Linked DNA regions of Lytechinus pictus. The protein of the gene in region 3 binds, or shares a complex with, the protein of the main gene of each other region. Links are inferred from orthologs where the notes say so. Each region holds a gene or a part of one and is shown on either strand. Other genes may lie near its edges. The genes, in order: exosome complex component MTR3-like, exosome complex component RRP46-like and exosome complex exonuclease RRP42-like.

Region 1 (10,244 bases), on a different chromosome or scaffold from region 3:
ACAAAATGCATTTTAGTGCTCACTCTTGTGATTTTTGTGTGTCACCATTCACATTGTACATAATAGTGTTAGGGCTTTTGAAGGCCATTTTGAATATCAAAATACAGGATTTATCACATAACTGGCATAACAAATGATATATATCGTTAGCAATCATGTTTACAGACATTGCTTCACTCATAGATCATAATTACTTGCATTTCAGTGCTCAATTTTGTAAAAATTAATTTTCCCCATTTATATTGTACAGGGGTCTATGATGGCGGCCATTTTGATATCAAGAAAATAAATATTTTGACAAAAATCATTTTTCCAGATATTATTTCACTCCGGCAGCACAATTGCATGTACTTTAAAGCCAATGTGTGGACAATTTTATGACTTTCATGGGTAATTTGAATATTTTGGCGGCCATATTGGATTTTGCCAATTTGCAGAAAATGCTCAAGGTTACACGAGTGGCATCATTCAGATTCGGAATCAGCACCCTCGAATTGACAAGAAACCATACAAAAACATTGTATATATAAAAAAACAAGGTTCGACCCCTACTATCCTGGACTAATGCGTTATTTCATGAAGCTAAAAATGGAATTATTCCATGGACCATTCAAAAAAATATTCTCTACAATTTCAAAATAATTTACTCTGCAGTGCTGCCAAGAATCACGAATATTACCCCAGTTTGAATAAATGGTAGAGTGGTTTTGATTTTTTCTTCACATAGATACTAAGCATTCGGCGCATTTTTGGTGTTTTAAAAAGCACATTTGCTCTAATAAAAATGCTGATAGTTTAAAAAGAAGCACATGAACCCCTATTTTTTAATGTTTGTACCTCTTAGGTATACCTTCCTCTACAACTCTGCAAATTTTTGTGAAAATGACATGGATTTTGAATAAAGTGCAGCATTTATTGTACGTTTGTAGTTTGTTACTTAAATTTTACATTTTTTAGATTGGGATTTTGTTATCTTTTACGCCATTTTTAAGAACTGACAGTGCTGTTAAACTTAAAATTGCAAACAAATAGCATTATAAATAGATTCTCCATTCTAACGATACAATTATTAACTCTCTTGCGAAATTTGATGACTTTTTCATGTATTTTGACTGAGTAATATAGGTTTAAACTCATTATAGTAATCTTGGGCGGTCTAAAAATGCCAAATTCTTTTGAATGCGCAATTCTTAATAACATCAATTTGGGTGAACTTTGAAGCTCTATAGCAAAAAATCAAGCACATGGACCTATGTTAATTTTTGCATATTTCGAATATTAAGGTTCTAAAATATCTATGTGCAAAGTTTGGTGAAAATGACATGGATTTCACTTTAACTGTGGAACGTCCTTAAAATGTCCCTTTTTCTGATCTGAATGTCAAAAATTTTCAGCTTGCGCTTCACGCTCGCATCATTTGGTTAGTGAAATACGCATGGTCTTCGTGAATTCCTACAAGCAGGCCTTATAATGCCCCCTCTTCAGGTCTAAATTTTCAGCTCGCGCTACGCGCTCGCAATATTTGATTAGTGAGATGCGTATGATAATTATGATTACAATTACTACAAAAAATGCGTCATGTGTTTAGATGTAATTCTAACAAAATCAGCATGCGCTTGGCACTCGCATTAGATGACTATGGTGAGATATGTGTACTCTTAATGGATTCCTTAAAAACATAGTCCTTAATATATCCCAGTTTGGGGGTCAATATATACAAAAATTTCAGCTCGCGCTTCGCGCTCGCATCATTTGGTTTGTGAAAAACGTATGATCTTCGTGAATTCCTACAAAGAAGCCTTAAAATGTCCCTCTTTAGGTCTGAATTTCCTAAATTTTCAGCTCGCGCTTCGTGCTCGCAATATTTGATTAGTGAGATGGGTATGTTAATCATGATTACAATGACTACAAGTGCTTCATGTGTTTAGATGTATATTATTCTAACAAAATCAGCAAGCGCTTGGCACTCGCATTAGATGGCTATGGTGAAATATGTATACTCTTAATAGATTCCTAGAATATAGTCCTTAAAATGTCCCTGTTTGGGGTTCAATATATACAAAAATTTCAGCTCGCGCTTCGCGCTCGCATTGTTTGTTTAGCGAGACAGGTACTTATTATGATTACAAAAATTTGCTTATAATGTCCCTTTTTAGGTCTGACTTTCAAAAAATTTCAGCTCGCGCTTCGCATTATGTGATCAGTGAGATACATATCCGTTTAATGGCACTGTCCTTAAAATGTCTCTATTATGTCAACTGGTAACCGAGCGCGCTTTGCGCGCTCTCTAAGTGACTCAATTTTTTTGCTGGTACCCCCCAATGCCGTGACCCACGGTACGCCACTGATAGAGATTATGCTATAGATTGTGTTATCCATCGTCTAAATAAGATAATTAATAACAACAAAAATATTTATCTACTACCTACTGAAGTCCTAAGTAAAGGAAGTCTTGTGCGGTAAAGGACAATGAAACCATTAAAGCAAATTAGCTCGTGTAAAAGCATGAAAATCAAAGAAGGATCAACGAAGCTGAGCCAAACTGGTCAAGAACAACATATTTGAATGTCATGATCACTAGTGCTAATCGTGTCGTACATCCAGGACCCTTGGGACGATTTTTAATAGGGGTTTGGAAAAAAACAAGCAAAAAAAAAAAAAAAGGGGGGGGGGGTGATTCGCTGCAAAATTAGTGATTTCAATGTTCACATTGTAACGTATACGAATCTGATTTCCAGGGGGTCGTGCTGCCTATGTTGTATACCATACGCAGTACATGTACCTTCAACAAAAATCTGGCTTGTGTCATCACATCGTATTGTCGCGTCGGGTCGGGTTTTCACGAAGCCGGACGATTTGAGAAAAGCTAGGCCCCTAAATTTCCGAAAAGTTAGAGTCCAATTACCCGACCATTCGAGAAAAGTGCATCCTTATTTCCCAAAAAGGTCAGGTCCAGTTTACCCGATATTTTGTGAAAATTATAGTAAAATTCTAAAGTGGTCGGGTGAACTGGACCCGACTATTCGGGAATTTAGGTGGCCCTCACCTTTTCTCGAATTGCCCGACCGACGTGATAACTGGATCTGTGATGGAACAAGCGCAAAAGGGAGCAAACTGTCATTTCCAGGAGAAAGCTAGAAGAACATAATACACGTTTGGAACTTTTTTTTTCACTTTAGGTGCAAGAATGCACCCATCAAAAGAAAGTGCTTCTTTTTTTCTTAGTGTACATGATAAGCTCACGAATGATAGGTCCCATCATATTCCTCCCATTGAAATTAAGTTACAACTATATATTTCCTCTATACTTCTCATTTATTTGTAATTTAATAAATATGCATTATTGTTGTCGGATTTAAAATAATAATAGACAGTTCTTGTATATAGCGCATATCACATTATGAATAAAGACTGTATGCCCGTCCAAATGACTTGAATATTATTACCCCGGCTGTAGTTCATGCAGCCTTCCAGCGATCAGGGCATTTCGAGGAATAAATTCCTGCCAGGTACCTATTCACCTCACCTGGGTTGAGTGCAGCACAATGTGGATAAATTTCTTGCTGAAGGAAACTACGCCATGGCTGGGATTTGAACCCACGGTCACGACCCTCTGTTTCAAAGTCCGGAGACTAATCCACTGGGCCACATTGCTCCACCTATGTGAAATAAATTTCAAACAATGATAGGCCTAATGAAAATGAATTAAATGAAGTAAGCCTATACGATAAGTAAAAAAATTCCATATTTCTAGACCACTATTTCTGTCGAATAGCATATGTTTTTAATTGTGCATTTTGAAATCCTACATCTATACAATTAAGGGATAACGACATAGTTTACACTTTATGTACAGACATTGAAAGTATTATATAAATAATATTGCTGAAACAAAAATAATCGCTGGTTGAAATTAACTTAGATGAACATAGAATTGACGGGCGAGCGCAGTAAGTAAGCAAAAATAAAATCCCCATGATTTTCCTATGCTGAGAACAACCTAGACGATACTCAATGGCATTCATCTATTCTGTTCAGAGTTAGACAATGTCACAAATGACCTCTACTATCCAAAGATTTTTTTTAATGGAGAAGTTTGTTTTAGGCCTACTTATTTACATCAGACACTCACAAAATAACAAGAAGGTCTCGAAAATCGCTTTCGTCTCTCAATCTCTTTCTCTCACTTATAATTTCATTTATACTATTTATTATTTATAATTATTAATATTGTATCATAATCACTTTGTCTAAAGTTACTGTCACTCATTCGTTAAAACGTTTACATTCTGTAAAGTTTCCGTCCCCCCCCCCCAATGTTGCTGTATATGTATACTCGTTTTGCAAAATAACTGAAACCATAAGTTACAGGGCTTGCCTCTCATACCAGCATGGCATTTCTTGGTGTGTCCTCCGTTCTATTTCATTTACTTATCAGCCAAAATCATTTTAGTTCACCTCAATTCAGTTCATGATTTCTTCTATTTTATGTATCATAAATTATGATATTGAACGGAAAGTGAATAAAACTATCTCTAAATCTAAATATTCCAATAACCGATTTCAAAAGTGAATATCTCAATACCTGGATATCATGGAATGCATCACGAGCACATAAAAATGAGATATTCTATTCATCCGCTTTTTTTAGCCAATGAGGCTCGAAAATTAGAAAAGTCTAAAGTGAGTGTTGCTTCGGGTGAAATAATCCTCTAAGAATATAATGTCAGTAGAATCTAGATTTTCTTACAAATGATATATATTTTCACATATTCAATTTTTCTCTCCAAACTGTTCATTAGCATATTAATAACTCTCAAAGCTTTTAAGGACTTTTAGATGACTGCAATGCACTTACAATCAAAATGGCATTTTTTTCATTTTTGAATGAAGATGGGGAGAAAGAATATAAAAAGCGGAAGAAGAAGAGGAGGGAGAGGAAGAAGAAGAAGATGCTTCAGTTTTGATGAATTAAATAAGCATGCATGCATACAGTGCCCTTGATTCTGGACAAACGGCAATACAGTTGCAATTTTTCGCCAGGCCTAAAACTTAGGACCAAAGTGTTGTTCCGGGTCACAAATTTTCGATAAAGACCTCCCATGTTCTCTGTCATTTGACGGGCATATTTAATACATTTACTTTGTTTTTGAATCCTCCGCACATCGCTCATATTATGAGCGAAATGCTTTTGGTGTTTTCCCTATTATTTTGCTCAGCTAACTTTACCATATCACTGCACCCACGATCCTGAAATTTTAAACGAGGTTGACGAAGCTAAGCACTTTTTCCAAATTTAATATAAATTTGAGACATAACTGTTAAAAATGCCGACTGACACCAAGCGCATTCAAGGACCAGATGAATCGCAAAGCACCTTTTTGTATAAGAAACGGACTGATAAACTGCATCAACCGGTAAGTAGAGATCAAGAATCCCTTTCTATTGACTATTCTAACGTCACGGAACCGCTCATCTTCATTAATCATTGGCCGTGACTGCCGGCGTGGGTAACCATCGGAGTCGTGGTGAATTTTCAGTGCAGTTGCAGTTCGCCGCGCCGCAAAACTAATAGGCCTACTAATAGTAAACTTAAAGTAAGGAAACACCCGTTGTTAAACATTTGATAATGATATAATTGAAGAAATTACAGGGAAGCCAATTACAGTCTACAGATTTCAAGCACTCTGCAATTATTCATGGCAATGTCGGACTCGGAATGAAAAAAAAGAGAGCTAGAAATAGAATAGCTAGATTAGAAAGTAAAAAAGGGGCCTAAGCTTTCGATCCTAGCAGAATCTTCGTCGGAGGCAAAATGACAAACATATAAAGTGGAACAACCATAATATAGACCACAAACAAGCTACAGCAACACTAGAAACAAGGAGACAAAAGGCCGGGGCATTAGTGAGTAGAGAAGACCAATCGGGTTAGTGAAGGGGATGAAAGAAAAGGAGTAGGCAGACACAAAGGGAAGTTAGTGTAAGTAAGGCCAGTAAAAGACCTCAAGCCAGGAGGGATTAAAATAATGAGGCAGGCAACATCAAACAGGATCTGGAACAAAACAGTGATAATGGGATGAAAAACAAGAGAATTAGTGAGAGGTGGGTCAAACAGGTTACAAAGAAAGGCTTAATAAACTGGTGCATAAGAGTGGGGGAAAAAAAAGAAAAAGAATGGGGAACAACTGATAATGTGCAAAAGACATATAAGTATATATGATAAAGCATTAAACAAACTAAGAGAAGAAGGTAAGTGTAAATATGTATCTATAAGTGATATGTATATAAATATATCCAAAAAAGAAATGTATATGAAAAAATATATAAATACACATATGGTGTAACTGATATTGTAATCCGCTAGGTGTGACGGGAAAAAAACATAAGACTATATAGTAGGAAAAAAAACAAACAAAAAAACCTGTATATGTGAAAAAGAGGAAGCAAATTGCCTAAAAAGGTAAAAGCAAATATAGAAGAGAGGGGGTGTATTATGAAGAAACCATAGTATACATGTAAATAAGCAAATGTGGTAAATCTAAAAGAGGTGAGTGGAGAAAAAACAAATATATATATATATATATATAATAATTATTATTATATCGCCTGAATAAGGAAGGAAAAATTGGAGCTGAGCTTGTATGAGATATGGGAGGAAAGTAGAGTAAGAAACTATAATGTAACTATTCAAAAGAGCTGAGGGGAAAAATTATATGTATATATAAATTGAAAGTGGATAGGAAAGAAAAATCAGTCGTTCCCCTCTTGGATGTTCAGGCCATGAGGTTGGGTGGTGCGAAGTCGTTTCATCCAGAGCTTCTCCCTGCTAGTACGGACTGAGTCAGGACGGGTACCTAAAGATTCGATGCCCTGTAGCATCATGTCAGTGATGGAGTGGTTGGGGAGGTTAAAATGGCGGCCAACTGGAGTGTCCAGCTTTGCTGTGTTGACGGTGGATCTGTGCCCATAGAATCGTTTCTTGAGTGTGGTCTTGGTTTCCCCTATGTATTGTACCCTACAAACTCTGCAAGTGATGAGATATACAACATTAGTGGTAGTGCATGTGATGTTGCCCTTGATTTGGTGAGACAGGCTGGTAGAGTTGCTGGTGAAAGTATCGCCCTCGTGAAGGTGTATTTCACATATGATGCACCTGTTGCTGGTGCATTTGAAGGTGCCATGCTGTATGGGAGAAGAATGGTTAGTGAGGGAGGGCACTTCAGCACGAACAATGAGGTCCCTGAGATTCGGTGGGCGTCGGTATGCTAGAAGGGGAGTATCGGGAACGGCCTGTTGGAGACGATCAGAAGTGTGTAAAATGTGGTGGAATAGCTAGATGATAGATCTAACTCTAAGTTGATCATGAATTTGATGAAATGAATAATTTTTTTAATTTTGGTAGCCAAGTCTTATAAAGTCCAAGGCCAAGTAGACCAAAAAGCTTCAGTCTCTGTATTTGGTTGTTCTGCTGAACTGCGTGGCTTCTCACCAATACATAGACTGAAGTCAATGGAGGCCTGTACGTAAAGCTGTAACTTTTACTTTAGCAGTAACGTTAGATCTAACAAGTAACATTCGGCAAAAAACCGATTTTCAGATCGTTTTTGTACATAAAATATCCCATTTACAAAGAAGAAATTTTACATCCAACTTGACAAAGAAATATATAACATTAAGAAATGTAATACTTCAGACCGCAGTTACCGCTAATTCCCTTCAATTGATAAAAACATAGTCATCCTCGATCCTTTCGTTGGTCATCGTAAATTGCCATCTTGAATGACGTCATCATCCTTACAGACGTCTTTACCAGTCGCCATATATCATGATTTATGCCGCTGCATAACGCTTCTCGGAATTTGTCGCTCCCATATCGAAAAGTCTAATCGGATAGCTTTGATAAAAGACTATCTCAACGAACGTTTTCCCTCTCCGGCAAAAAATTTGTAAAAATAAGGAATAAATCATCAGCAACATATATTTTCTATCTTTTATTTCATATTTCGTAGTATCGAAAGAAAGATTAGAGTCTAACGAAAATAGTGCGCAATCGTTCAAGATAATGTAATATCATTTAGACCTCAAGAAAATAAAAATATAGACAAAACAATATAGGCCCGAATTGGGAGAAATGATTACACATGAGAGCTCGCACTTACGTACTTCCGTTGGTGAATGGGGATGATAGTAAAATGTCAGAAATTGTTGAATAAATCCCCAGAAACAACAGTTATTCCTGTCTAAGCCCAAGGCAGGAGCACTATGATATTTCTACATGTATGATAGACCTAGATCTATTTGTCTTTTCATCAAGGAGCCTAGACACTGGCCCTAAAGACCTGTGTGTCGAACGTGGTAAACAATGATGGAGTTTCCTAAAAAATCCACCACATTAATTTTGGAAAAACGCGGAATAAATCAGGTTTTGAAGCCTTTAGTAGGACCACAAAATTTAGAAAGCTCTGAATTTGTAAAAAAAAAAAACACAAAAATAATCTTCAAGTCCTAAAACATGATAAAAATTACTTAAAAGTTACAAATGTTCCCTATAACTTCTGAAAAAGTAGCAAAATAGATCAAGTTTATGTGCCAAAAATACATATGGTACCTCACTGTACACTCCTTACTGTAGGTTAGTGGCCAAAAATAGTCTTTATGCTGCCCTGGGATTGTGTTCTCTTCCTGGAGGAGACGTGGAAACATCACATAGATAGACCATCAACTCGGCTGCCAGAAAATGTGAAGATACCACTAATATTCTTATTGCGTATAAAGGCTTCACTTCAGAAAAAAAAGAAAAAAAGAAATTACAAGGTTTCTTACCAGACTGATCGCTTAATTGCAGCTACAAAAATGCTTCCACACTTTATAACACAGAGGCATGACCTTTGACTCGTTTTGCGATGATGTAGGGACGATGAACTTGGTGTGGAGGCAGTGTTTGTAACACAACAAATTATTATTAAACAAATAATTATTATTTGCATACGATTCACATTTTAGAATTATCAATTTTTACATAATTACTTACAACTGAAATGTGAATTGTATACAGATAATTATTTGTTGTACGGATTCAACCTGGGGGACTTGTTATAAATGTAAGATATATATGTGCGGCGGTTGAGACCCCCATTTTCAATCTAATTTTTAATCGATTCGGAGACCGCTGATTTGTTCATTGGGCAGAAACATCATGCCCGATTTCATGCATATTCATGCAATGCTCCGAAACACTGAATTTGTGCTGTTCCAGAGCATTGCATTTTTAGAAATCGTTGATCCTAGAGCAGTTACAGAGACCCCCATTTTAACACAGAACTTGAGTTCCAGAGCCCCCTAATGGGCCCTATTTTCATTTTTGGTGCGGCACATAGGTATCATGTTATAATTTGAGCCCCCCCCCCCCCCCTCCGGGGAGTACAATCTTGTACTTTCTAGCTAGAAATTGGCATTTGATACCTTCATGTTTCTTGTTAATTTTTCAATTACCTGTAGCTTCTAGAGGAAGGAAAGCGACAAGATGGAAGATCACCTGAAGAAATCAGACCAATATGTAAGTATTTGTTTTTTATGATGTTTGTATTTAAGCTTGGAAATTTTCAGAATATCCAATCAGTGAAAGCATGGTTGATATTAATTGTCTTATGGTCAGAAGAATATAGACCATACCTCTCCTATTATTATTAGAAACTGACATCATCACATAGTTAATTCTGATTATCTTGTATTTTCCTACTTCTTGTAATGTTTTCTTAAGGTCATATACACTATTGTGTAAACACTTACTATGTCTTCCCACCTACCATTTTTCCCTCATCTTTGATTTTCAGTTCTCAAAGCTGGGGTTGTTAGTCAAGCGAAAGGATCATGTTATATTGAAATGAAGAACACCAAGGTCATATGTGCAGTGTATGGACCAAGAGAGGTGCCAAGGAGAGATGGGTTTGTCATCAATGGTCAGCTTCGATGTGAGTTTAAATTTGCTACCTTTGCCAGTGAAGTGAGGCAAGGCCATTTAACTACATCCACAGAGAAGGACCTGGCATTACAGGTGCAGCAAGCCTTAGAACCAGCCGTTTGCTTGGTAAGCTACTTTCAGTCAATGACAAGAGTGTGATTGTGTCAATGTCTTTCAGCTTACGTTGTATATGGGTAATACATGTAACAGTACCATTAACATGTGCAGGAAGTATATAGGCATAGGAGATGTATGTGACCGCTATATGTAGTATGTTTAGG
Region 2 (10,676 bases), on a different chromosome or scaffold from region 3:
AAATAAATTTAAAAAAGAAATGACAAATCCACACTGACACATGAAAGTATTCATTTTATTTTTTTTCCTTGTTGGCATTGGTTACATTAATTAACTCCACATAAAAATATAAATTGAATATTTTAACAGTATTAATGAAGTTGCTCAATGAAATTTAAAATTAGGTATTCTCATTGGAGGTAATGGTTGATACAGATGGGTGGGTGGACCTGCAGCCACTAGCGTACCTATGGGGGGGCAGACTGCCCCCCCCCCGACGAGTCACAACCCATGCAAGGGACGTATCCCTGCCCCCCCCTGATGAGCCACCGGTGGCCCCCTCCTTTGAAGTTTAAGACCTTTTTTTTGCTTGTAATTTTTTTTCTGGTGCGAAATGTACTTAATAACCTGTTGAGGACCTTTTTTTTTTTTTTTTGCTTGTAATTTTTTTTTCTGGTACGAAATCCTTTATTTGTGGTTGAAGACTTTTTTGCTTGTCAAATTTTTGGGCAGACGATTTTGCCCCCCCCCTGTGGAAAATCCTAGGTACGCTACTGCCTGCAGCTCTATTGTTTTATTAGATTTTCATTTTTTTATTGCTGGGGGGGGTATTATGTAGAGATGAGGCAAGATTCAATGTACAGCTCAATATGATGCATGTAAAGTGATTTATTAAACTTTTGAAATATCAATTAAGAACTGGAATGATCAATGATATGAATATAAGAAATATATTAAATGCATGTAAAGTGATTTATTAAACTTTTGAAATATCAATTAAGAACTGGAATGATGAATGTTATGAATATAAGAAATCTATTATATGCTAGTTCATCACAACTTTAGCTGGATCTTGCTGCAGAAAGTGCATCGTGTAGTTCTACAAATATCTCGGGTGAGAGGCAGTTTGGCAGAGCGGATGCAATGCTTCATAGGGCCCCTAACATTTCTGTGGTAAGGTCGAATCCAAACTGATGTTTTCATCAAATGATACAGCCTCCTGGCTACAAAAATTTCCTGTAGATGAAAGAGAAAACAAAATAATGAATGCAATGAAATTGGGAAAAAGTGAGGCTAGAGGAGCAAAAACAAAAGCAAATGGTTGTAAAGTTAGTACAGGAGAGGAACAAAATGAGAAGAAAGGAACTCACAGAAAAGGAAACAAAACAGAGAGACAAACTTGAGACTAGCTCCTTTAAAAAAAGTTCTGTATGGTGTACTATGGATCTGTAAAAATATTTCAAAATTATGTAAAGTTTCAAGGATTGAGCATGCATAGGAAATCACGTAAAGGCAAGGATATCAAGTCACGAATAAAAACAAAAAATGAGGGGGGAAAATGGGAATTACATCACCCCCCCACCCCACCTCTCTCAAAAAAAAAAAAAAAAAACGACTTTAATAACTTGTCAAAACTCTATCTAGTATCAGCTTATGTTATTATCCTTTTTGTTATTGTTAGGGATCGAGAGAAAGGATGAACGCGGGGGGGGGGGGGGGGGGGGTGCATTTTTCGGTTTCATACTTTCAAGCATCAGTGTACTGAAGGGGAAAATGTAACATAGGACTACAAAAAATTGCGGTGGACAGACAAGAAACAAGAAATGATGATTAAAATGAAAGAAAAAATTCTCGTTCTCAAAACAACTTGAAAAAAGAAAGATGCAAAACCAAATGTTATCAACTCACTTACATATTATATTTGAAATCCATCCCAATGGTCTTCCATGTCGTAATTGTGCACTGTAATTCAGATAATCTAGTTAAAACATGTGAAATTAACTTTAAGTCTCAAATCAATCGTCTTGCACACTGTGCCTTGCAAAACAACAACAAAATACTCCGATATATGCGTATCATGAACACACATGCATATTTATGAGCGCCGCGAAAATGACCATTCACAAATGATGCGCACTTACGCTTCGTCACCATGCCGCGAGAAGCGTTTATGCGCGATGTAAAATCTCCGCCCCGAATTGGCAATCCCCGAATGCGCATGCGGGGTGGTGATTGATACTCGATGGTCGACAATTCGTTCGGAATGGATAATACTTAGAAATCTTTTTTTTTTTTAATCATAACTTGAGTTATTCTTCATCATATGTCTTAATCAATGCATCATCGTAATGGGTGACACATTGTCTTTATGTTGAGGTAAGTTTCAACAGATTTGGATGAAGATTTGAATTATCAGTGGCGTACCTAACACTGCTATTACTATCTTTTATCATGAAAAGATAATGTTGCTCGTTACGTAATCGTTGGGCCGATGGGCAAGCCAGACAATTAAAACCATGCGTAATCTACCTAGAGCTGAGGGCCTGTTTCATAAAGACCTGCAACTGTTGCCATTATGGCAACTACCATGGAAACCTTGATTCTGATTGGCTGCTGAGCCCTGTTACCATGGTAGTTGCCATTTATGGTTACAACAGTTGCAAGTCCAATATAAAATGGGCCCTGGACTGCTACACTACTAGAACCATCACCTGTGGTCAGAGGTAGCTTACTCAGCCCAGTAGTGATGTATTCAGTATTTTTAAGGGGTTAGCTCATCTGCTGAAGGTTAATATTTTAGGGAATTTTTCCATGTCAGGAAAACTTGTGAAAAGTTTGTACTTGGTTATTTGCTATATTGTCCCTCCAAAAAAAGTAATCCAAGAGGAGTTTTTATTAGAGGTTGGTTGGAGAGAATGGTAAGTTTAGAATGAATGGTGTATTTTGGGGAAGTAGATCTCTGCGGGCTAGCCAACAGTCAGTTGTCAGAGGGGAGAGTTCATTCCATTAATGTAGAGTTCATATAAAAAGATTAATTTGCAAGGAGTCCAAAGTTGTATGTTGCTGTTGGAAATGTATTGTAGCCTACGTTCTCTTCAACCTACGGCTTGTGTGTGTGATGTGATCAGCTACAGCCTGGTTAAACAAATATCAACTGCAGTACTTGGTTGCACTATACAAATGGGCCTATTAGTAGGATGTAAATAAATGCACTCTCAGAGCTGTGGTGCCTTCTTCTAGTCCTTCAGAATGGCAATGAGGTTAGCACCTTTTCCACATATCCTGGATACCCATCCCCGTTTAGCTTCCAGTATTGTCTCAGATGTAGAATTAATAGCAGTTATAATAAGATTTTTTTAATGCTAAACAGATGGAAAAAAAAACAGTCAAGTGTCAACCTTATTTTGAGTGTAAGGGTTCCATGGTGCTTTACAATGGACAAATACAGTTCTTTAATGAACAGAGTGCACAAGTTAAAATTCCTCCTAATGAAGTTCAGGACTCTAGTTGCATCTAGATTCATTCAAAGGTTGGTGGACTTTGGGAATCTACTCTCTGATGGTTCGTTCCATGTTCGTTCAATGACTAACATTTTTTTAATGAGAAAACAGACATTTTTCAAACTGTTGATTTCAAATTTTGCCAATTCATAGTTTCATCATTCATTCATTAGCAGACTAATGCTGTCTCTGGCTCTATTTCACTTACATTTACACTGCTAAAGAAAAACCCAAACCAGCAAAAGATAACTTGTTACTTCAAGTATCTAGGGGAGTTGAGCAGCAGGTGAAAAGGGCCAGTCTTTTTATTTTGCTCCATTGACCTTTTCATGTGGACAAATGGGAGGTCCATGTTCTTAAAAAAACATTTGGGGGGAGGGGGTCACTTGTGCTAATGAAATGACTGTTGTTTGATGTTGTTTAATCCTTATTTTTGAAATCCTGTTCTGCAGGTTTTGAGTCTTTGGCAGACTTGATCTCCAGGTAATAGTCATGTGCCGGATTTACTTTAACGACCCTTGCATTAGAAATGCTACACTTGTTATTAGCATGGAATACAAAAAAAATGTATCTGCTCTTGAATTGCAAGTTGTATGAATTATCGACTGGTGTAACTTGGATGACCCAAACTTAAAGTACCTCTGTTTTCCTGGCATTTGCTCTCAGGCTGTATCAATTGGCATTCATCAGTGTTCTTAATCTGCAAGTAAAAGTCATTAGCTGGTCATACGTTAATGAGCTTCACTCACTTCGACTCTCAGCATGTTTGTATCTTATCTTGAATCGCCAATTGCCTTGATCTACAAGTAAGAGTCTTTAATATTGCATTTGCTCTCAGGCACCTCTTTATCAAATTGGGATTCATCAGTGTCCTTGATCTGCAAGAAAGAGTAATTGGCTGGTCGTACTTTAATGAGCCTAACTTTAGAAGTGCTTCTGTTGTAATCACATTGTTTAAGGGAACAATATGAAGGAGGATACTCAAAATTACTTCATATTAAGAGAGACCATTACAAAGTCTTCTCTATTGGCAGCAGGTTGAAAGGCCTGGTCTTTGTGTTATGCACTGTTGATTTGTTCTTTTGGACAATTTGGGGGTCCATGTTTGGGATTGATGAGTTTTTCTCTGAATTTTCTCCTTGTCTGCTGTTGCTGAGGTTAATCTTTGATGGATCAAAGGCAGGGCTAGATGCTGGCTCCTTGTACTTCAATTCATTTATATTTAGATATTCCAATATTAATATACAAAGATAATATGGGAAGTGCATCAAGAAGTTTGCATATATGTCAAGCAAGGTGCTGCCTTTTCAACGAAAAACAAAACAACATTACAAAACGAATTGGTTACACAGAACATACAACACATAATACACTGATTACAACAAAAAACGATTACAATGTACAATAATAGAATACTACTTTTAAATGTGTGTCCCAGTCTTGGATCCATCTTATTATGCTGGACTTGAAATGCCATTTTAAAGGATCTACAAGAGGTTCAAGATCCTTGATCTTAGGTGTTCTTGCAATGTTTGTGGTCAAAGTTGAACACTTTGACTCAAATACAGTACTCATGATCTCATAGGAAACAGATTTTAATTCTGGAATATCATTGTTTATCTGGGGAGGTTAAGCAACAGGGGCCCGTTGCAGAAAGAGTTGAATTAAACGCAACTCTAAAAATCATGTGCAACTTGATTTTCAACCAATCAACAGCGCGCATTTTGGACTTGCGATTGATTTTTTGACTTGCGTTTAAACGCAACTCTTTCTGCAACGGACCCCTGATCCTTTACTGGCTGTGGTTTGCAAAGGCTTATTTATAAGCTGATTTGATAGGGATCAGTCACACATAATTGGTTACCCTAAAGACTGGGAAAAAATACTTAGGCCCGTATTCTGAAGTTGGGTTTAACTTAGACCATGGTCTAACTCCGTGCTAAAATTATGTGAAGCCAAACATTTCAAAATTTTGTTTACAGTGAATGCTTCTCATTTTAAGTGTGCTCTTCACTAATTATCTAATGCCTTCCCAGGCAGTTAAAATGTTTTGGGAGTCAAATGAGCTGATACATTGAACCTCTACTGTTGGAGATTAAGTAACAACTGACTTTCCATAGTTAAACCACAACTTAAAACCAGAGTTTAAATTAAACCCAACTTCAGAATACGGGCCTTAGTGAACTTTTGGTTGATACAACATAGCTCTTGAGTCACAAGAAATTCAGATATCTGCTACTTCGAGTAGCAGAGCTGCCAGAGTTACAACGTCCACTTGATTTTAAAGATATCAAGAACATTTTTTGTTTTCTAGACATAATCCATATATAATTGCCAATGTGATTAGCTGTCATTTTAAGTGGCATTGAGCAAGATATTCTTTTTCCTTCGATGTTTTTGTACTGCAGGTGATACATCAGTAATGGCTGCAGTTTATGGGCCTGGGGATATCAAACCAAATAAGGCTCTCATGGACAAGGCAACAGTAACAGTTACATACAAACCAAAAGTAGGAATGGCAGGTAAAGAAATTTCTCAATCAATTTTTTTCCTTTTTTTTTTCTTTTCCAACTAATGCTTTGGTCACATTTCATTGTCAATACTTAATAAAATGTTTTACAATATTACATTCAATTTTGCGTGCATTGTAAATGAATACAGTTTTCAGCACATTTCTTCATTTTCACTGTATCTTTGTTCATTATATTTCTTTTACACATCCTAGGAGAAATGTAGTACATACTGCTATTGACTGATTAGTGGTTTCCTCATCATCTATACTTCAATCATACATTATTGTTAAGAGATCATAACATTTTTTTGGAAAGTTAAGGCTACGTGGAGATCATGTAGTGGCCTTGTATTACATATGCAGTAGGAAGGAGTAACCTGTGAAAGGGGCCTTTTTTGCACGAAGCCTGCAAGTGGACTTTCATTGCTAATCATCGCATTTCATCAAAAATCACCACCAGAAAGTTATGAAAAGCTGCATAGCTGGATTATAGCTAGATTCTGGCTAAAAGATGCAGTATAGCCTTTTGACAAGGTGCTCAATATATACTTTCAACAGACCCCAGCCATCTTATTTATAATCTCAAATACATTAATTATTACTCATCATGATCGTATGATGTGGTTTTTTTTTTCATCAGGTGTAAGAGAGAAAGCCTTGGAGAGGATGATCAGGAATACCTGTGAGACGGTCCTCTTGACCACACTCTTCCCACGTTCTTCTGTTGATATCATCATCCAGGAGATCCAAGATGCAGGGGCTGTATCCTTAAATTGACACACATGGGTCATGATCTGAACTCCAGTAGAATTTAAACTCTCATTTAACGATGGGTAGCCAATTGTGACACAAATCTCTAACAGTACAGGGTCAATTTACCAGCTCATCTCTTACTCAAATAATTGATAATTTTCTTAAAAGAATAACTGAAATAATTTCAATTACCATTAAAGAATGGGAAAAGAGCACAGTAAACAAAAGAATTGTACAATGTAAACAAATTTTGCACATTTAATTTCAAACTTGACTTAAGAATACAGAACATTGTGCACTATACAAATACCCTATTATTGTTATTTTAAGGTAATGTGTTTTTTAAACACATGTGGACAAGGCTACCTTTCTAGTGGCTTTAATTGCATGAACATAGAACTTGAAAACAAGGTTCCTGTAATGCTTCCAAGATTGGTCCATCTGTTCATTACTAGCCTGCTTTCCATCTATTTTGCAGGATCACAATGATTTTTATAAACTTTTTGGATAATAGATTATTTGAAACCGTATTCAATTGGATCAGATTAATTGGTATTTCATTTCTTCACAACATACATTTCTTTAAATTTGCTTTTGATTTAATCTCCACAAACAATGTATCTACTTTTCCTTAGGGCATTTTCATGGAAACTGACGTGACACGGCACAATTTTACACACCTTTCATTGTGTGTATCTCTAAAACAACAAATGATGGGAGTTTGCTTTTGATAGAGTTAATAAAGTGAACCTTGCTGTATACTTTGATACTAAGTTTTTCATTGTAACCACATTTGTAACGCATCAGCAAGCAAAAATGTGTCGGTAACTGACGTTACACAAAAAGGACATGCAATTTCAGGGTGTTCAGTAAAATTGAAAGATCTCATGTCCCTGAGTAGATAGAGTAATAATTTGAATATGTGAATATACCTTTGTTACTAGGTTAAGACGTGTCAAAATATTAAATAATTTGCTTTTGTCTTTTGGGGGCTATGATAATTTTTCCACGACCATGCTGGTAACTGACATTACACTTAATTTGCCAGGGCTTCACATGAAAGTGAGCTTGATGTGGAAGTATACGTGAGTTTCTAGGAACATTTCAATAAAAAAAACTTTTTCGTTTTCTTAATTAATTTTCTTTGATTTGAATATTTTATTATTACTTGTCGGTAACTGACATTACACATGAACATCTACCAGTGCTATATGATTTTCAAAGGCATAATTCTCTTGGTACTTATATGTAAGGCTTTTTAAAATCATAAAAGTTTCATAATACTTCACATTTTTAATTGTCAAAAGATAAGAAATGTATGTTTTACTTACTCGGGGGGGGGGGGTCATAGCAGCTACATGTATTCCTATAGTAATTCAATTTTGTATTGACTGTACACATGGATTTTTCTGACTTTACACTCATTTATATTCATCAGTTTTATATTGACTTTTTAAACCTTTTCCATCTCCAGCCTCCCCCTCCCCTCAAAAAAGGCGAAATGAATAAGGGTCTCCTATGCAGCCATGCAGTGTTATTGATTTCTATTCTGGTCAGTGCAAGCAATGCTTGTTCATATCTGTCGGATTTCATTTCTCTTCATAATTTGTTTAATCATTCTCTTTGCTAATTTCTTTTTTAAGCTGTCAACAAAAAATAAACTCCAGCTTCTAAACTGAAACTGAACTATTTGTAAATTAGAAAAAAAAAACACAGTTTTAGTAGATCCATGCAACATTAATCAGAACTGTCAAATTTCACTTTTCAGCTATACTTGTAAACCAAAAACAAAAATTGTATCACACATCCACACTACTAACAGGTATAAAAACCAGGAATTTACTTTTAGCCCGGCAATGCTCAAAAGAATCCTAGAAACTAATAAACGGGCCCTGGAAACCCCCATTCATAAAAGCTTATCAAATGTTGCAGATTTAGGTAATAGGTTGGGAAAAGTACCCCCTCCCCCGAAAAACGAAGAAAAAAAATTGTCTGATACAAACAATTAGGTACTTGGTAAGTGCATGTACATACGCAAAACAATTTCATAGTAATTTTTTTTTGCACGATGGGAATGCAACTTCCTTCATAATTTTATATAGTATTCCTTGTGAACTATACCTTTTAAAAGTCAATAGCAAGCTCCTTCTGGTGTGACTTTTAAACTAAGTGAAAGACTACTGTATAACAAGTATACAATATTTCTTCACCATAAAATTGACCACACATTTGCATTTCACTACTGGTAACCAACGTTTTATCATGGTAACTGACATTACATCTCGGTAGCTGACATTACATTTTCCTCTTGGTAACTGACGTTACACATATTTAATGGTACCCTATGGCTTGATTGTTAATTGGTAATCTTTAATTTTGGTGTAGAAGGGAGGGGTGTTACCTAGAGAGGAAATCTACCAAGTTTCATATACCCGTAATATATCCTCTTTTCTGGGAAATGAGAAAAAAGAGTTCATGTTTTTTGGTAACTGACATTACATACCATATCACATACTTCATCAATGTTTGTTTATCAGATAAATGAATTACTGGTGTCTCTTTCTATGGGATTTTAAAAAGTGTTATAATAGCAAGCTAAATCACAGGCGAAAACATGGTCAAACCTATTCTTTAAAAATCTGTCAAAACAAAATATGTATCAATATACTATTTTTAACACTAATTTGTATCCTTACTTTGGCAGCCATTTTGAAATGAAAATTAAATGGCTGCCAGAATCGGAAAAAAAATTTGTCCCAGAAACTACAGGTCTTGTATTATTAAAAAACATAAAGCATTTGACATGAATATCAACTTGATTTTTTTGCCTCTGTGTCCATCTGTGGTGAAAATGCCCCGTACTGTATCTTTCAAAATACAAAATTATCAAAATGTTCCCTATTTTCATTTTGGGAATTAAAAGGTTAAGAAGTTTGAATTACTCAGATTTATAAGTCTTGGAAATTAACATTTTTTTTTGTAAAATCAGGGAACTTTTACAATTTAGATACCAAGATTTGAATACTGTATTTTTCTTGACTTTGAATAATCTTTAGCTGTTAGCATGTTGTATCAACGCAGCTTGCTTGGCCATGATCAACGCAGGCATCCCCATGAAATGTACTGTCGCAGCTTCCTGTTGCATGATGGGTAAAGATGAGGACCTTGTGGTTGATCCAACCAAGGAACAGGCAAAGGTATGTCTGATTATTCCATTTGATTTGATGTTATAATACACATTTTCAATAGGTTCTAGCATGGGGCTCAATGGGTTGTACCAAAAATATATATATACAGCAGGCAGATTGCCTTGTTGAAAATTATGATAAAGTGAAGTGACATGAATGCAACTATTCTGGGCGCAAATTGGTTACATTTACATCGCTGAGAACATCTAGTCTGCAGGCATACCCTTGGTTTTCGCAATTTGCACAGTGCATAATGCAGAGTCTGAAATAGTGAGTCTAGATTCACTATGTACTGTGGCTGACTGACAGAGGCTTTGGCGTCTAGTCTTAACTCTAGACCTGTTATTGGTTAGAGCATAACATCATTGTCTTTATTCATTCCCGCACATGTTAGTATGACTGCATATGTTAGCATTCATCTCACCTATGTTACAGCTCTAACAACCTGTACTGACCGCCTAGATAAGTTGTTACACTAACAATGCGCTAACAGAGGCCCTGTTACAACCGGTAATGTGGCAGCAATACCTAATGTTACAACAATACATTATTTACACATTGAAATAAATGTTTTGACTTCACAATCCGAAAGATGTGACTGGGATAATTGTTAGCGCTCTGCTAGGCTAACAATGTTTCTGTGTTGCCGGATCTGGCCATTTCGAAAACCTTTCTAGTAAATGTAACCCCCACTTTTTTTGTTTCCATTTCCTTTATTTTCTTTGCTGCACTATGAACATCTACTCATGATGGATACTGGCACATTAAAAAATATTCGTAGCTTTTGACAATTGTGACCCTTGATTGTAATTTTTTTTTGGTACTTTCATGATGTTCATTAATTAGTACAAATAGCACAGAAAGTCCAACGTTGCTCAGATTAACTTGTAACAATGTAATTTTATCATGAATCAAGTTATCATTATGCCTAATCCATACAATATAGGCAAAAAATGATTTTGT
Region 3 (10,863 bases):
GAGAGTGACAAAGAGAGGGGAATAAGACCTAGAAAGGAAAATAAAATAATAGAGATATAGGTATGCAAGAGAAAAAATAAAGAGGAAATATAGAGATCAAGTCAAAATTTAGGGGGAAAAATAGGAAAGGAAAAAACGAGCGAAATAAGAGAAAATATGTTTAAGAGTAAAAGGATCAAATTGTGGGAAACGATTCGGGTGATATATCCCCGCTGTCCCACAGGATATGTCACAATGTTCACCGTGAAGAATATTCAAATGTTAAGCTTCTGCTGAAATGTTTCAATTTCAAGATTTATTTCACTTGATAAAAATAACATATACAGGTAAATAAGAAATACATAATGACAAGAACAAAACAAAGTAACAAAAATGATAATACAGTAAATAGTGTACAAAACAGCTCGAGTGTGGACTGGCCTGGGGACTGGCATTAAAGATCTGTTGGATCTTAGAAGTTCCAGCCCAGTAAAGAAAGAAAAAGAAGGGATACAAAATAGAACATACAAAGACAAAAGCATACAAGGGAAAAACATACATTGATAAAGTTAAAATGAAGTGTTTGCCTTTCTAGGAAAATGATAGAAAATAGGTAATTTTTACCTATTTTCTATCATTTTCCTAGAAAGGCAAACTATAGGAAAATGATAGAAAATAGGTAATTACCTATTTTCTATCATTTTCCTAGAAAGGCAAACACTTTAAAGGACTAGCGTATGTGGAGGGTCACAGAAAATCGACAGATGAAATTTAGTGAGAATTAATAAGGAGAAGGGCAAACACAAAGATTACTCATGTTACTATTACTTAGTTGTTATTGGATGCGGACGTTGTTAACAGAATTACTTTGTACTGACGTTGAAAACTATTAAGGGATAAACTATTTTTAAGTGTAGGGGGAAGAGAGTTCCATATAATTTGGGACCGGCTGAATACATATTCTAGTTTTTTTAGTAAAAGTAGTATGGACGGAGGGCATGTGAAAATCAAATTGTCTACGACTTTGGTGAGAATGGGTAGTAGTATTGAGACAAAAATATACGTTGACCTCAAGGAGATGTATCTGGCAGGTGTACACCTCCCCCACGGAATCCTTTTATTTCCGTGCCCCCCCCCCCCCCCCCCCCCCACTAAACGTCTTTGCCGATGCATGCAGGCTGGCTGCATCATATCATGGACCTATTACGACACGTACCGGGTTACGTAACTTACTTTTGCACGTGCACTTTACCGTCGCTGTTGTTCGTGCTGAGACCGATCCAAACAGTCAAAAGACAAAGTTTGACTCTTCTTGTAGCTTCTTTAGATTTTTGACCTAAGATGGCTTCAGTTCAATTGGGAGAAGGTGAAAAGACATTTATAATACATGGAATTAAGGTAAGTGGTAATTTACTGTCCAATATTCCGTGTTATTTTATTTCAAGTTTTGTCTATTTTGTCTTGATATATGAGACTAGTTCAGTCCCATACGCTGATTTTTCTGTTTGTAATTTTCTCTAGCTCACACTCTGGCATAGACAGCTGGCAGCCGTCTGTTTCGAGGAGTTTTTTAACATTTTTTTATTTTTTAAGTTTCTCCTCATACACAGACGGCTCGCTATTGTGCAGCCACCATTAGGGGACTTACAATGCAAAATCCCCCTGTCGGGGCTCTTCAATTTTTGTCTTTAAAAAATAAAAGTTTAATGAATCAAACTTTTGTTATGAACACTCCTAGTACCAATGAGGTCCAACATTACATGTATGGACCTCATAGGCGACATCAGTAGTATTTTGTGTCAGAAATCTTTGTGAAGATGATTATTTTTGTATTTTATCAAAACTACAAGCTATCGTACTGTCTAATCATTACATTTCGATCTCACTAATTGAATACATTGTTAGCAATAAAAAAAATTGAAAGAAATGAAGGGGAACTTACATTTTCACGGCTTTTTCCTGATTTTCTGGGCAACTGCTCCTCTCTTCTGACTCGCGATCGAAGCTGATATGAAGATCACGTGATTCGCGTTCTCGTCAGCTGATCGGTTGGTTATTCTTTTCGTCAGACGTTAATAATATATATTTTATAATGCTAGCATTCATCGCTAATTTAGGTGAAAGAGATTGAAGTTAAACAGCGCCAGGTCGGAATCATAATTATTTTGGAAGAGTGTATTTATACACTCGATCTCATACCTGACGTAGACGGCGCTATTCAACAAATGCACAATCTTCAATATAAAAATAAAACAGAAAGAACGCCTTGAACACAGGCCAAAATGCCGAACGATTTCTCCGCGGCATTAACAACTATCGTAAAGGGCGCTCCATTTATCAATAAAGATGGACGCTAAGCTGTCTATGGCGACAAAATTTGCCGCAAATATTTACGAAGAATTGTGAGAAATGGTCTGAAAATGCAACAAAAGAACCGGTGAGTACCGATTAAACATTATTAAATTTATAAATAGATTATACATACCTTGTAGATTTAGTTTTTAAGGTGATATTAGTGCTTAGTTCTAAGCTAGAGAGGCCCAAACGCGCGTGAGTGGAGTCCCAGTTTATTAGCACGGGTAAGTATTGGGGTGTCGCCTAGAGTGGTTATGAAAATTAACCCGACCGAAATGCAAATTAATATTCCCTCTTGGCATTAATTGCCAAAAAACGGGGAAAATCAAGTTAAAAGGAACAAAAACAGTGACTTACCTCGGCTGTCGCGCAACTTCACTGCCCTGTTTTATCCGAACTTAATACACATAAACATATGGCCATTGACGATTGAGTCCCCTGTACACACCACTCCTAGTACCAATGAGGTCCAAACATTAACATGTATGGACCTCATAGGCGACAATGCGTTAAAAACAGGTTAGAACTTCTAAACGTACTGTTTCCTGCACCCAAGTATGATATTACTCCCAAAATATGAGTTTTGTCCTCGTTTGTTTATCATTTATTAAAAGATTGCCCATTAAATATATTCCTATTCCTAATTTGAATTTAATAAAATAAAGGGAAACTTACATTTGAGTCATTTTTCGATCTTTTTTTGGCAGTCAGTCCGGTCACCGTCGAGTGCGATCAAAGCGGTATGAAGCTGATTTTCAGATCACGTGATACGTGTGGTCATCACCTGATCAATCGACTATCCTTTTTTAAAGACCGCAACAATTATAAATTTTATTATAAAATATATATAGAATGAATAATTGCATGATATTATATATATTTCTACAATTAAAAATATTTTGTGATATGAATTTAATATTTGACGTAAAAATCGCTATTTAACAAAATATTTATTAAAAATAAAAAATCAAACAAAATAAAAACGCCTTGGACACAGTGCAAAAAACCTAACAATTTGGCCGCGTTCTTAACAACTATCGTAAGGGGCGCTCTATTTATGAATAAAGTTGCATATGTAGTTGTCTATCGCGACAGGAACAGCCGCAGAATTGAAGCCAGAAGCGTGGGAAATTGCCAGAAAATTCAAGAAAAGAACCGGTGAGTACCGATTTAACAGTACTAATTTATTAAGTAACATTTATTGAATCATTACAAGATTTATTTTTTAGTAAAACAAAGCTTAGTTCTAAGCTAGGGCGGCCCAAATGCGCGTGAGTGGAGTCCCAGTTTATTAGCACGGGTAAGTATTGGGGTGTCGCCTAGAGTGGTACACACCTGGGGCCGATTGCACGAAAGGGTCTTTCCAAGGACCGTCTTTCGTGTCGCCCATCTTTTATGATGCGCTATAAGCGGGGTGTTTCTGAAATTTATGATAAACAAATAAAATTCGTAAGCTAGCTTTTAAATCAAATTTTATACAATTTCATGAGATATCAGTTTTTATCACATCATTTTATAAAAAAATATTTTTGTTTATTCTAACGGACAAATAAAATATATTTGCAGATAATTTATTTGAAATGCGTTTCACATGGCGTATCATAAAAGATGGGCGACACGAAAGACGGTCCTTGCAAAGACCCTTTCGTGCAATCGGCCCTTGTTCACTGCAACCATCCTGCCTGTGGGGAATCTACAGGTAGGACTATGGTATGCCAATGCTGTACATAGCACATACTTTAAAAAATCATTAAAATATCACTTTTGTTACCAAAATTACTAATTTCCATACAGTTGCAATTTATTTTTAATTAGTAACTTGGGAATAATTTTTGTGTTCACCAGAGCGCTCAAAAACTTGAATTTTTGGCATATTTTTGTGTGCGCCCTCTATAGGTGGAAAGTAATATGGCAAGAAATTTTTCATTTTTCAATCTCTATTTTTAATTAAGAAAAAATAATTTAAAGAATCAAATTTACATAAGAGCCAAGTTATATGAGGAATAGATGTATCGGAAACTGACAGTGTAAAAAAATCAAGCATTTGTCCCACAGAAAAAGAGAAAATAAGCCAAAATTGCCACCCTTATTTTGCCACACATGGAGATGTAACTGAGAACAAGGTTATATCATAACCTTGTTCATTGAATGAGTGCCTGTACAGATCGCGCTAGAAGTTCGGTCTCTGTATTTGGTGAGTGAAGCCAACGGCAACGGAGTTCAGCTGAACAACCAACATAACTAATGTTGTAAATCGGATCAAAAATCAGATCGAAAATTGGATCGGCAGTTAAGCTTCTAAAATCGAAATCGAATCGGCGATGTTTAAAAACAAAGGAATACATCAAAATTTTGTTCGCGGTCGCGCGCATCTTCCTGACAAAGTCACAAAGACGAATGTTTAGGAATGGAAGTCGTCGACATGCGCGATCGTTTGGAACATGCTTTTAAAGGAAAGGGTTTTGAGGTTTAACTGCTTTACAATAAAATGAGTGATTTTTATTAGAAAGATAAACGAATGACGCATCTTCCGAGCAAAGTCGCAAAGGAAAATAATTGTCGTAGATCACATGTCAATGAACGATCGGCGGGACATCTTTTATAAGTATTTTTATGTGAAGCTGAGCTCAGCTAAGTTCGCTCATTATGATGTGTGATTACAGCCACGCCCAATAACCATTCCAAAGTACACCCATTTTGTTATAATAGCTTACTTGGTACATCATTTCTCCGAATCAGTTCTGGGAAAAGTTAAGTCACGCCTCAGTATCAATCTTTTTGTATACCGGTACTCACCCACTCAACAATATCAGTGAATTACGCAATGCGCGCAAGCATTCACACAATACAAGATAGTTTTGAGGCATAGCCGAGAACTGGAACCGCCCAGACTCAACGGGCTAGTGCAAAATTCTTTACACTACCTTTTGGCATGTGCACGTGGTGGGTTTGATTGACACTGCTAACAGTGCTATTCTTTGAGTTGGCTCACTGGCTGGATTAATGACAATATATCACTGCAAGTATGGCTTACATGATACATAAAACACGCAACACATCCATACACACTGCTCTCAAACTCCCTTGCTATTATTCGTCCCTATAGGCCATGTGTGCACTTATGTGCGGGATTTAAGCATGGCATTGACTAGCATATACAACACATCCACGCACCCCAGCATTCATATACCATAGAGCTGTTAATAGCTCCATGCATATACATTTCTCAAACTCGCTTGCTATTCGTCCATTGTGTGAACTCATGGGCGGGATTATGACAAAAATTAGCGCAAGCACTAGGTACGTAATACATACAATACATTCCTGCACCCACGCGGTCACACAGATCTCAAACTCCCTTGTCATTCGTCCATTGTATTCACTCATGGGCGGGATTTATCAGCGTAAGCACTAGCATACATAATGCGCACAACACAAGCAGTCACACACAGCTCTCAAACTCCATTGCTATTGTCCATTGCATTCACTCATGGGCGGGATTTATCAGCGTAAGCACTAGCATACATAATGCATGTAATATTCATGCAGTCACACACAGCTCTCAAACTCCCTTGCTATTGGTCCATTGTATTCACTTATGGGCGGGATTTATCAGCATAAGCACTAGCATACATAATGCGTACAACACATTCATGCACCCATGCAGTCACATACAGCTCTCAAACTCCATTGCTATTGGCCATTGTGTGCACTCATGGGCGGGATAAATGACAAACACAGTACAAGTACATGTTCATTGTTTGTATTATACAATACATTCATTCCAAGTTCCACTCCCACCATACCAGTCAGCGCAGCTACCGGTAGGTCATCATAAGTAGGTCAACCTTTTATGAGTCATTTCTGACATTCCAGGAATCTCGATTGTTCGAAACTATTCGATAAAAAAGCTCTAAATAGCTAGCACCTCCGCAAGAACAATCTTATATATTATACATATGAATATGTTCTGACCGCACTGTAACTAGATCTACAGGTATGCCGATTTTTTATATCCGATTTTTTCCTTCAAGGGGCATGATCGAAGATCGGCAAGTGATCGCCGATTGTTGTGAAATCGAATGGAATCGGTTGCCGATTGCAAAATCGGTTACAAGCTTAAACATAACAGAGACCGAAGCTTTTGGTCTAACTCTGGCACAGCTAGCCTGGAGGCGTCTGGGGAGTAAAAGTCATCTACTCTACGTAGGCTTACTCCCCACTGATGCCTGGGTCGCCAAGGTATATTCACGCAATCGCGCAATTTGCATGCTGTCGCCAAGCGGAAGACAAAGAAATCAAGATGGCGACGTAAACACGGCCGTAAGCTCTTCCCATCTTTTCATAACATTTTTCTCGTTTTTTTAATGAATTCTTCTTTAAAAACGAAATCAATATTGCAGAAATGTTGGAAATGAAGTTGAACCCCATGTACATGTTTTAGGGCTAGATCTTTTAGAGGGAAAGTATAAATCTCGGGGGCGAAAGTTTCAGGTTTTGTGGCCGTACGTGCGTGAATATACCTTTGCGACCCAGGCGTCAGTGGGGAGTAAGCCTACGTAGAGTAGATGACTTTTACTCCCCAGACGCCTCCAGGCTAGGCACAGCTGCACAGTCTGCAATTCAATCACCTTGTTTGAACTGTGTTGACAGGAATGAGTCTGTAGTAGACTAATAAATCCGCTGTTTCGGAGGAGTTTTTCAACATTTTCTGATTTTTTTTGTCCTACACAGACGGACGACGGCTTGCCTGGATTCTGGAGCAATTTACCGCAAATAACCGTTGGTGTTGCTTAACTACTACTACTACTAGTACAGGGACTATGGAGAAAGGGAGCGCTTTTGCACTCCTCGATTACTCCTAAATTTTGCTTTTTGATGGGGGAAAAAAGAAGAAATCATAAAGATAAATTTATATCAAATATAATCAGCCTACCACCTTTTTGAAGAATAAGCTGGAAAATAGCGAAATTTGATGACAAACAGATCAGGATCAGCCAGGTTCTTCTTCAATCGCCATCAGCTACAGCTGAGCGAACGGATTGGCTGGCACTTCGTACACTCAGCTGTAGCTGAGCTGACGGCGATCGAGCTGTCAAAGAACCTGATCCTGATCATATTGTCATCGAAATTCGCTATATTCCGGCATATTTTTCAGCCACATATATGAATTTAGAAATTTTAGGATCTCTTACCCTCTTGGATGACCAATGCTAAATATTCATTTCACTTTGATATCAGCAAAGTTAATTTTTAGGATTTATTTTACCTCTTTTACCTTTAGGATGACCTGCGGTCGGATGGGAGGACATGCCTGTCTTATCGAAACTTTGAATTGGAATGTGGAGTAGTGTCCAACACAAGTGGATCTGCAAGATTGAAGCTTTCAAACACACAGGTATGTTTAACTGGTAAATTGCCAAATGGGCTATTCCTGCTTTGTGTACTTTCATCCTAAACTGGGTTCCAAAAGAAACTGATCAAACTTTACAAAGGCACTGCACAGATTCCACTCGGTCAAAATGAACAATATTTTTACATAGGCTACATTCAATAATCTTTACCAAGCACATGACAATAATTAAGAGATTGGCTCAATCACAGAGAGGCTGTAGCCCTTCACGTCAATTGGACACAAAGTCACAAAATGACAAAAGAAAGACAAATGGAAATGAGATGGAATTAAAAAAACTTCCCAGCTTATTACACATTTCTTCGTGGGCATGTTTTAGTGATTGGCTGAATCACAAAGACGCTACAGGAAGTTTACATCAAAATTTTAAATGACTGGATCAATCACACAGAGATCCCCGCAGGCTGTCCCAGTAAGCGGGGGGGGGGGGGGGGGGTAATCTGAACATGGTAAGTATCTTTGTTTGGCTGTGTGAGATACACACAGCTATCATGGTGTTATATTGTTCAATTGAATGAAATTAAATGGAATGAAGTATAATCTTTGTGCTCAGAGAATTGACCAAAATCATGCATAGTAACTGATGGCTCAAAGATTCAGTTGTACTTGAAAAACGCTTGTCTGTTAATTGTTTTAAGTAGAATTTCTATCAAAACATATGTTCGAAATTCCTACTAAATTTTCCAGGTTATTAAAATTGGCAATTTGAATAGCATGATAGTGTGATGCTGCATCATTATAAATGTATCAGAATTTTCCACCCTTTGCTCTCTTGGTGTTTTTTCTTATGCTTTCACCCACCATAGATGGGTGCTGGGGGCATTGTGTTTTCAAATACTGACAAGGTCAAAGGTGGCAAAGGTCATTATTTGAAAATTTCAGAAGTAAGATGCATTTTGAATTCTTGATCTTGCAAATAAAGAAGCATATTTGAATGCATGCAGTCAAAAATCCACCTAGATCCTTTATCTTTGGCGTTATACTTATGTTCCTCCCTATCTTTTTTATTTTGAACACTTTTTTTCTAAATTTGTCACTTTTTTTCTTAATGTGTTTTTAATTGGAAAGGTTTTAGTTGGTGTTAAAGCTGAAATGGGACCACCTAATCAATTAAATCCTTCCCGCGGCACAATAGAATTCTTTGTAGACTTCTCAGCCAACGCATCACCCAAATTTGCCGGGCGGGGCGGAGATGAGCTGGCAGGAGAGATATCCAACATGCTCGGGCTTGTCTACAAAAATGAAAAGGTAGGACAACAGCATCTTCAAAAGTTAATTTCATTATGAAAAATCAGATTTTGTGTAATGGAGGTTGTTAACAGGTTTAATAACATACGCAGGAGATATTTGTGCTTGTCTGTAGATCAGGCTAAATATCTGAATATTGCAATTTATAGACTATTTACAAATCAACAAGGGTGTTCTATAAATGAAAGAAAAGTTTAATGAACTCTAGCGAGCCAAGTATCCTATAGTGTGTTTTCATGGTTGTCCTTTTAAAGGTTATCATGGAGCTGAAGGTGATTCACTTACAACTTAAATCAGTTTTAATCTAAATTTATCAATTTTATGAATTTGATGTACAGCTTTCTAAAATTGATTTTTGTGAGTCACAATCCCTGGTCACGAATTTACAGATTTAACAAAATATGACTCCAGAATTATTTTTTTAAAGATACTTACAACCCATGTTATAATTGGCCAGCCATAGTTCTGTGCAATTTCATGCTCAATTACATTGTGAGATACCTGTAAATTGAAGGTCAAATATGCATTTTCAAACAAATAGAATTTTGGATTTTGTAAAAGTTGTTTTATCCTATTTTGTAAATAAAGTGGCTATATATGCAAAATAAAAGACTATTCATGAAGCTGCTGCAGGAAACTTGTACTAGTAATCCATGCCTAATTCACCATTCTTTTGTTGCAAGCTGCAATTTGGCAATCGATATTAAATGTGAAATCGATTACAAGAATTATGATTGATTTGTTTAGAAAATAGCCTTGCAATTGATTGCATATTTCTTACAACGCGCTTTTAATTCTGATTTGATATTTTGGCTACTACGTATTGTGTGTAAGTAATCTTGCTATCAACATTAAATTTGCAATTAATTGCAGCAATTTGATTTTGTAAAAATGTCCCCATCACATGATTGCAGCACCCCTTATTCTTATTTTCCACTTTGGTATATCTTTTGCAGATGTTGGACTACAAATCATTGTGTGTTATAGCTGGTCAATGTGTATGGACACTCTATGCTGATATAGTTGTGCTGGAATGTGGAGGAAATCTCTTCGATGCTATTGCTCTTGCAGTTAAAGCAGCTCTCTATAATACAAGGTATGTAATGGGGACTGTTTCATGAAAGTTATCGGCTCTTGGCCAATAAAAAACCAAGGAAAGTTGCTGGATGTCAAATGTGGATAAAATGTCCCCCTGTGTCCAAGGGGAATTTAATGCATGCCTGAATCAGAGCAGAACAAAACAGTCTCTCCCCTCCCCCTCTCTCTAGTTTTCTTTATTTGACAACTTTTTAATGTCAGTTTTTGAATGGGGAGTTTTTGCTGTGATCGTCCATAAGTCAAATATGCTTACCATTACTAGCCTTAGTGCCCTCTGTTAGGGTTACACAACATTTGCTCCTGTGACCATTGCTCCAGGCTTAATTTCGTCTAAGATGTAGGGTTAGGGTTGCAATAGGGTGTTTATGTTAGGTTTATGGTAGGGTATAGTGTTAAACCCAGGGTTGAAGTTGGTCATTCGATTAGTGTGTGGAATTTAGAATGAAGCAATTGTCACTGGATCAAATATCATGAGACCTCTGTACATTGTTCCATGGTGATATTCAACAACTTTATTTGTGAAAAAAAACAAGCAAATAAAATAAATGTAGAAAAATTCGCGAAAATATTGGGGTTGGTCCGCAGATTTGTTGATTTGGGGGGTCAAATATCAATAAGAAAATAAAAGTTGAGTGGGCTGACTATGGTTGTTCGGGTCAATGCAAACATTTTTCTCTTCTAATTATCTGTTTTGCCGAATGGGATTTTTTCTTTTACAGCCGCTGTAAGATTGGGGTGCATTGAAAAGGGGATTGTCATCCTTGTCCTAC

Evidence for each region.
Region 1: exosome complex exonuclease RRP42-like (region 3) and exosome complex component MTR3-like share a complex: the UniProt entries of both Homo sapiens proteins name them as parts of the RNA exosome core complex. The link is inferred for Lytechinus pictus from reciprocal best matches to the Homo sapiens genes EXOSC7 and EXOSC6.
Region 2: exosome complex exonuclease RRP42-like (region 3) and exosome complex component RRP46-like share a complex: the UniProt entries of both Homo sapiens proteins name them as parts of the RNA exosome core complex. The link is inferred for Lytechinus pictus from reciprocal best matches to the Homo sapiens genes EXOSC7 and EXOSC5.

Annotation. Positions count from the first base shown.
Region 1 is NC_087245.1:11,453,057-11,463,300, reverse strand, and holds the start of exosome complex component MTR3-like, read left to right. Parts: upstream 1-5,078; 5' UTR 5,079-5,327; coding exon 5,328-5,417; intron 5,418-9,500; coding exon 9,501-9,558; intron 9,559-9,835; coding exon 9,836-10,089; intron 10,090-10,244. UniProt on the Homo sapiens protein: Non-catalytic component of the RNA exosome complex which has 3'->5' exoribonuclease activity and participates in a multitude of cellular RNA processing and degradation events.
Region 2 is NC_087251.1:26,027,616-26,038,291, forward strand, and holds the start of exosome complex component RRP46-like, read left to right. Parts: upstream 1-5,638; 5' UTR 5,639-5,682; coding exon 5,683-5,782; intron 5,783-6,412; coding exon 6,413-6,534; intron 6,535-9,581; coding exon 9,582-9,722; intron 9,723-10,676. UniProt on the Homo sapiens protein: Non-catalytic component of the RNA exosome complex which has 3'->5' exoribonuclease activity and participates in a multitude of cellular RNA processing and degradation events.
Region 3 is NC_087246.1:61,515,603-61,526,465, forward strand, and holds the start of exosome complex exonuclease RRP42-like, read left to right. Parts: upstream 1-6,009; 5' UTR 6,010-6,062; coding exon 6,063-6,158; intron 6,159-7,618; coding exon 7,619-7,732; intron 7,733-8,815; coding exon 8,816-8,995; intron 8,996-9,951; coding exon 9,952-10,091; intron 10,092-10,863. UniProt on the Homo sapiens protein: Non-catalytic component of the RNA exosome complex which has 3'->5' exoribonuclease activity and participates in a multitude of cellular RNA processing and degradation events.